2 linked regions of the Nothobranchius furzeri genome follow. The protein of the gene in region 2 interacts with the protein of the main gene of each other region in a pairwise test. Links are inferred from orthologs where the notes say so. Each region holds a gene or a part of one and is shown on either strand. Other genes may lie near its edges.

Region 1 (4,012 bases), about 7.3 Mb from region 2:
CAACCCAACTTATGTAAATATGTCTTCTAATACACACCCACCAATAATTACACAATTTCACTAAATAATTCTATTCCATCATGTTCCCTGTTGCATTATTTCTGTGCCAGCCGGGTTTCAGTCACTCGCTTTCGTTGCTGTCGCTGTCTGAATACGCCCCCAGCAGGCTGAGAGATGATGACCCATTTGGGGTGGCGCCGGTTTTAGAAGCGTTGGTGGTGTCGGTTGTTGATGTCTTTGAACCTGTGAATAAATTACATTAATGTGGAATAAAAGATTAATAATTAAGCTATTGAGCTTTTAGAATGATCGTCAACACAAAAATTTTACCTGTTTTTGAGGCAGGGGGAGCTTCCTCTGTACTCGGTTTTCTGATCATCGCTGCTGGTTTCTTTCGTACTACCAGAGAGCTGAGAGCTCCTTTGCCTCCCAGCGTCCCAACACTCCTCTCCCAGCTCTCTACCTTAGCCCTCTTCACGCCCCCGGATGAGGACCCCTGCGGAAACATGCATCAAATATTCCACTATTCGCTGCTTGCAGCTTGGTTTTTGTCATGTTTGTTCATTTTGAGCTGTAGGAAGCTTTATTCCACCCATGTCAGTCTTTTAAAATGATGTAAAACCTTCTACAATCAAACTTAGATTTTTTTTAACTACATAAAGAAATTGAAGATTTTAATACTAAGCTTTTAATATTTATATAATAACTTTTAAAAAACAGCCAAAATAAGCCATAACCCAATATTTTACATATATGAGACTCTGTACAAACCTGTGCTTCCTCGTGTTTATCAGTGGTGAGGATATCTGTCGGCTTGTCTGCACCAGCAGTCTTTGACTGGCTGCTGCTCTCCTCTTCTTCTTCTGAATCAGAGTCGGAGTCTCTCAGTCTTTTCACGAGCACCCGCTCCAACATCTCTCTGCAAAGCAATATTTGAATGTTTAGCAAAGAAGCAAACAGACTTTTCATTTAGACGTGCAAATGATACACGAGCCGTTCTCACTCACTTTGTTTCACGCTCATCTTCTTCTTTTTCTCTTTCCTTCTCCCGTTTTTCCAGTTCTCTGTACTGATCAATCATTCCCTCAAAGTCCACCTGTGCCTGCCTCTGATTGAGCTCCTTCAGCTCCTGGAGGTTTTCCAGAACTTCCATCTCCATCTTGGAATCCTTAGTGCGATTCTCCAGCACCTGAAGGGGATTAGGGAAACATTACTTAACTGTTCAGAACACTAATTTGAAAAACAAGAACAAACATTTAAAACACCAACCTTCATGGGGTTGTTTAGCTCCTCGTCTTCCCTCTCCTGATGGATTCTCTTTTCCTCTTCCTCAATAAGTTTCTCTGCCTGGAAGTTGCGTGTTGCTCCATGCTCCATGGCATAATCCGTGTTCTCTGGGTCAGTCTAGAATCAAAACATAGGCGTATGTGGATATGTTACTAGCAGATTACTAACAGTAAAAGCAGCTTGCAACAGTGCTATTGTGACAATAATAATACCTCACCTTAAATGTTATTTCAGCAAGACATCGAGTACATTTGATGTAGAAACGAAAGATTGGCAGTCCCATGTAGTGCTCGTTCTGGACAGTCTCTTTGCGTGCATTGAACTTCTTCCCCTTGTAGATGTACTCACCGCATGTTTTACACCTGCGTTTAAACATGCATACATCTCATTAAGAAACCTCAGTCTGATATAAAAAAGCATAATCAGGTTTTAACCTAAACACAATGAACCAGGATTTCTGATTTAAATAGACGTATAGGGGAACAAACTAAATAAATGAAGTGTGGCAGTGTGAGCGTCCTGTCACAGTGTCTCGACTGATCATGCGCCCTGGCTACTTCACCAAGGGCTTTGGCTGACTGTTTAGCGTGCGTTACTCTCACTTGGGAGTCTGGGGATCGAATCCCACCCGGGCCCTCGTTTCTCTACCTTGCCACAGAAGGAAAAGTGTTCATTTATAAAATTAAACTTAGACCTTTACGTTTAATCTTAACAACTGAGTTTATTGTATACATTTTGTAGTAAGTAAGTAAGTACGTAAGTAAAGTTTATTTACGTAGCGCCTTTCACAGATATAAATCACAAAGCGCTGTACAACATGAGTAAAATCAGGGCAAATACCTCAAACCAATAAAAACATCATGTGACAACAATAGTAACCAAAATCAGGAGTAAAAACACAGTCAAGATGTGAACAAGAAAGATTTTGTGTGAAGAAACAATCAAACTGTAGGAATCATGCTCTGAAAGTGGTTGTATTGTCCCACCAAATGAAACTAAACGCACTCATTTACACACCTACCTCATATTGAATGGAGCCATCAATCTGACCACATACTGTCGATCTTTTGGGAGTTTAAGTTTAGGGATTTTGGACGGGTCGAAGTCTGGAGGGTAATATTTCTGTGGAAGTAAAAGCAGAAGTTAAATAATTATCAGAGACAAAGCCGTAAACATGTAATGAATCTAAAAAAAACTTTTTAATCCAAAACTCATTATAGGTTACGCTCATTAAAAGTTACAAACGTCAACACGTCTCGTTTATTTATCAACACTGCTAATGTTAGCTTGTTCTCGTTATCTATTAAGACGGAAATTACTCTGTTTCTGATCCACTTTGTAAAAACATCACTCTGTTATGATTACTTACGTTCAGAACTTTTCTTTCAGACATTTTTTACTTTTGTTAGTGATAAAAAGTACAGATATCTTAAAGGTTTAGAAACTAGTACGCAACGTTGACTATTAGTGATAGCACTGTAAACTTCCGGTTTCTCTGTTTAGTCACTTCCGCCTTTGAAAAGGCGATGCTGCCCCCTTGTGGAACGACGACGACCATAGATATCATGTCCATGGAAACATAAACTACAAACACGTGTTTACTCGTTTATATACATATCTAAGAAGAAGAAGAAGAAGAAGAAGAAGAAGAAGAAGAAAGGAGTTTTTATAAATATAGCTCTTAGATGAAAATCACGAGGCGCTTCACAAGAAACAAACAAAATAAAAGATTCAAAACGATGATAATAAAAATCAGGGAAATTGGGGGGAAAAGGAATGAGAAAGATAATTTGGTCGGATTGGCATTGGCATGAAATAAAATAATTTCATTTGGTGATTATTTAAGCAAAACACCTCGGTGAGTGTAGAGAATGTGTTTTATTTGGGATTTACAAAACGTATAACAAGGATTTAAAGATTTTTTTAAATTAAATGTAAAAATGTCGACATTTCAGCATTTAACACATCCCAAATTGTTGGAATACGTCTGGGTACCCAAAAGGCACGTCAGACACATTTCAGAATTAGGTAATAAATAAATCACCCAAAACAAATCGGACAAACTTTATCTCATTAGATCAGCCTGCGTCATTGTTTGATGTACAGAAACCATGCTTCCTTCTGTTATCTGTCTTTGTTTGGAGACAGTGAAGAAGGTCATGACCTTTGGCTTCTCCCTATGCATCAGAAATAGGGGTGTCTGCAATGGTTTGGTGGTCAAACACTGTTCAGGGGTTAAAGTTTATCTGTGCAGAAGGAAATTGGATCTTGAATACAGGTTGGTGTCAGTGTGGACCTGAGATCTGATTTAAGCTTTAAAAAGGTTAAAAGAGTTCATGTTAATTAAACAATCTATGGGGTATTTGAAGAGCTAAACAGAACATCTCTGCTTAGATCCGCCTGCTTCAAGCCCAGATAACTGATTATATCTTTGATGCTTTATGTCTGTGTCACAAGCAGCTTTGTGATCAACATGATTCATCAGTGAGTCGGATAGAGACTGATTTCCCTGAGACAATCATAGAAAATAATAAAGATGTTTATTGCTTTTAAACATTCCATAGCAGGGACATAAAATATTAGACACTGGTTGTTTTGCTGCTTGTGTGTTTGGTCAGCTTGGGCTGTTTTTAAAGCCTTTTATAAAAAAAGCTATCTATCTTTGTTTATGTGCTTAGCAGACGACTTACAATTTTTTTAACCTATAGGGCATGTTGTGATCTGT
Region 2 (4,205 bases):
GACTTCTGACTTAACAGCTGTCCAAAAGACAATCATTGACACCTTGCACAAGGAGGGCAAGACACAAAAGGTGATTGCTAAAGAAGCTGGCTGTTCGCAGAGCTCTGTGTCCAAGCACATTAACAGACAGGCGAAGGGACGGAAAAAATGTGGTAGAAAAAAGTGTACAAGCTCTAGGGATAACCGCACCCTGCAGAGAATTGTGACGACAAACCCATTCAAAAATGTGGGGGAGATCCACAAAGAGTGGACTGCAGCTGGAGTCAGCGCTTCAAGAACCACCACGAGGAGACTCATGAAAGACATGGGATTCAGGTGTCGCATTCCGTGTGTCAAGCCACTCTTGAACATGAAACAGCGCAAGAAGCGTCTCGCCTGGGCCAAGGACAAAAAGGACTGGACTGATGCTGAGTGGTCCAAAGTTATGTTTTCTGATGAAAGCAAGTTCTGCATTTCCTTTGGAAATCAAGGACCCAGAGTCTGGAGGAAGAGCGGAGAAGCACAGAATCCACGTTGCATGAGGTCCAGTGTAAAGTTTCCACCGTCAGTGATGGTGTGGGGTGCCATGTCATCTGCCGGTGTTGGCCCACTCTGTTTCCTGAGGTCCAGGGTCAATGCAGCCGTCTACCAGGAAGTTTTAGAGCACTTCATGCTTCCTGCTGCTGACCAACTTTATGGGGATGCAGACTTCACCTTTCAACAGGACTTGGCACCTGCACACAGTGCCAAAACCACCAGCACCTGGTTCAAGGACCATGGTATCCCTGTCCTTGATTGGCCAGCAAACTCGCCTGACCTTAACCCCATAGAAAATCTATGGGGTATTGTGAAGCGGAGGATGCAATACGCTAGACCCAACAATGCAGAGGAGCTGAAGACGACTATCAGAGCAACCTGGGCTCTCATAACACCTGAGCAGTGCCACAGACTGATCGAGTCCATGCCACGCCGCATTACTGCAGTTATTGAGGCAAAAGGAGCCCCGACTAAGTATTGAGTGCTATACATGCACATTCTTTTCATGTTCATTCTTTTCAGTTGGCCAACATTAGAGAAACAAACATTTTTTCATTGGCCTTTAGAATATTCTAATTTTCTGAGATACCAGATTTGATGTTTTCATTGGTTGTCACCTATAAATATCAAAATTAAACGTAATAAACATCGGAAATACATTGGTCTGTGTGCATTGCATGAATATAATGTACAAGTTTCACGTTTTGAATGGAATTACTGAAATATTTTCAACCTTTTGATGATATTCTAATTTACTGGCCAGCACCTGTAGAAGTCACAGTCAGCCGATTCTTTGGGCCTATTTTTAAGGCTGAATTTTCCTACCTTATTTACACACTAAGATGTCACTAATAACAGTGAAAGCACAACGTTCACTGAATTTAACTAACAATATTAATTTTGCGTGCATCTCCATGTTTTAATTATTTGTTTAATCAAAGTTAATCAAAGAAATGAATAACAGACACGTATTAAATATACAAAACAGGTAGGTAAATAAAATGTTAATCAACAATAATGTTTTAAAGCAAGTGTTATTCAGGAACGTAAATACACATTAAAAAATTAAATTCAGCAGCAGCAGTGGGCTGCCAGCGGAAGTGCCCGACTATATGTATAATAACTGGTAAATATCGCCCTGATATATCGGTCTATTTCAAGTTTACATCCAACAACAACCCACAAATAAACAGAAACACCACCTGCCTCCAAGGCCGCAGAGTAGCAAGAAATTACAGCCTGGACTTAAAGAGCAAGTCAACCCCTACCAGAGTCTAACTCCACTCTCACTTCCTGTTTGAAAAATGAAACAAATGCTGTTGCCTGGCAGACCGAGAAGGCGGAGCTGCTAACAAATACACACACACAGGCTCACAACAGCATTGTGACATCATAATGTACCAGTTTACATCATAGCATACCTCTTAGCCAATAGCGGTGGCAGACTTAAATTAAAATACAGTGCAGAGTTTTTACCTGACAACGGCACAACACTGCCAGTTTTAGGCAGAATATTTAAATTTTAACTAAGATGGACTGAAGTGCCAAATTATTCACTACACGTGTCTGCAGCACGATTAGACACTCGTTTATTTAGTTTATCAGCAAAAAAAAATTTATTTGGGGGTGACTTGCTCTTTAAATAAGATATGTGTTCCAAGCCGGATGTGTGTGTAACTAACAAAATAAAAAAAAACTTCAAAGTAATTTAAATGAGCACGTTTTTATTTAAATGTAACAAATGAAGAAATGGAAATGTTGTTTATTAAAATATGATGGTGACACCACCACATGAACCACTTATTTTTTTGAATATTATAACCGGATATTGTCATTTTAAACTCGCTTCACTTCCGGTGTTATGCCACTTTCCGTTTCCCGTTTACATAGACGCTGAAACACCAATGTTAATCTGAGCAAACGCGTTTGTATTTTGCTTCGTAAGAACCATCGGCATATAAAAATAAGAACTGGCGGCTTCCGTAGACTTCCGAAGCGGCCGTACAACGTAATCTCAACGTACACGCACACACAAAAAGTGTTGACAATTAGTAGTTTTACGTTAAGGCAGACAAAATAAAAACAGACCCCACGTTTGATGTTTGATAATATCAAATTGATATGATAGGTCAAAGAAAATACAACAATAACTTACTGAAAACGGTTCATTAAATGCTGCGCTGATCACGTAGCGAATCGGCAAATCTCACCAGATAACCTAACTACCAGTAGATTCTAAACACCCGTGTCCGTGACGCCCGTGTTGGTGCAGCAAAAAGTGACGCTGAGAAAAAAAAACTACAGCGGAATCCAGAAAGCGGCTGTGTGTTCCGTTAGATAATGATGAAAAATTCCAAAAGACCCAAAGTTGTTCTGAATTTGAAAGATCTCACGGTGATTGCAGCTATCGAACGCTGCTAGCCCGATAGCTGCTGCTGTGTGCATCGTCCAGGCCAACACATACCCGGCGCCTTAATGGCGTAATCATCAGATAACTACTTTCGCTTGCAGTATCGAGACACAAGAACCGGTATAACACAGTTCACGTCACACAACTTCACTCTAGGGGAAAAAAACTCAAAGCAAAACAAATATGCCTGGGGTTAGCAACTTCGGAGCTAGTTGGTAGCCATTGCAGACGCTGTGTCCCTTATTAAATCAGCCACTGCCGCAATCAGTCAAAAGTTAGGGGTCAGATATTAATGCATAAATCTTACACAAGTTCAATATACATCTCTGGATAAGAAATATTAATTAACATGTAAACACAAGTTGGTTTTCAGTGTGGCTAACCAGCAGTAGAGAGTGGGATGTTTACAGAACGGGCTGAGGTAAACCTTTGGCGCCATTTTAAATGACGACGTCGCGTTTTCCTAGCGGACCGCTCGTGCGACCATAACGGAAACTTGCCCACCTTTCCCGATTACAAGATTTGTTTACATGTGTGCGTGTTAATAAGAACACTTGAAATAAGTTGTACAGTACGTACGAGCACGTCAGACCGATGCAAGCCGATGCTTGAGTTCGCTGTGGGGCGCAGTTTTAGCTGAGATCCGCTTGACCCGTATTCCAGAGCGGCGGTCTGGGAGGAGGTTACCAAGGGACTGCAGCTGCGCCCGGACTCCGCTAGAGGGCAGCACACTATCCCACAACCAGATCGGAGATGAGTATATTTTATTATTGCCGTGATCATAAACGTCCAAAGTATTTTACCGCCTCAGGAAAATAATGGATTTGTTTATTAAGAACCAACGGATTAACTCAAATTTATCACAATTCTTGTATTAGTGTGAATGACTCAGCTTTCCCAACACCCACTCCTTTTAGGGCAAACTGATTATTAAAGAGACAGATCATATAAAAATACCATTTATAGTTTAGGGTTTACTGCTAATAAACACTTGGTATCTTTAAAGATTCATTTAAATTATGTCAGCTGAAGAATTGTGTTTATAACATGGAGCTAAAATAGAAACGTTTCTTCTTTACACAACATTTTTCTTTCATTTAAAGTTTTGTACAAATTTACTTTTTTAATAAATATAAATGAAATGCAAATATTTGCACCATTGATTTATAAAATTTAAACACTTTTAGATTCAAATCAAGTTAATTAACCTTTAAACATATTAATTTTAACCACCTGATCGAGGAAATCAGCTTCCTGCAGTAAAAATTTTATTCTTTTA

Evidence for each region.
Region 1: the proteins of jade1 (region 2) and yju2 interact in a two-hybrid assay, tested with the Homo sapiens proteins (2 studies listed by BioGRID and IntAct). The two-hybrid records come from large-scale screens. The link is inferred for Nothobranchius furzeri from reciprocal best matches to the Homo sapiens genes JADE1 and YJU2.

The regions. Positions count from the first base shown.
Region 1 is NC_091758.1:25,015,571-25,019,582, forward strand, and holds the start of yju2 (splicing factor YJU2), read right to left. Parts: upstream 2,812-4,012; 5' UTR 2,681-2,811; coding exon 2,657-2,680; intron 2,410-2,656; coding exon 2,309-2,409; intron 1,650-2,308; coding exon 1,505-1,649; intron 1,405-1,504; coding exon 1,270-1,404; intron 1,190-1,269; coding exon 1,008-1,189; intron 920-1,007; coding exon 772-919; intron 497-771; coding exon 331-496; intron 244-330; coding exon 122-243; 3' UTR 1-121.
Region 2 is NC_091758.1:17,731,484-17,735,688, reverse strand, and holds the start of jade1 (protein Jade-1), read right to left. Parts: upstream 2,805-4,205; 5' UTR 2,686-2,804; coding exon 2,672-2,685; intron 1-2,671.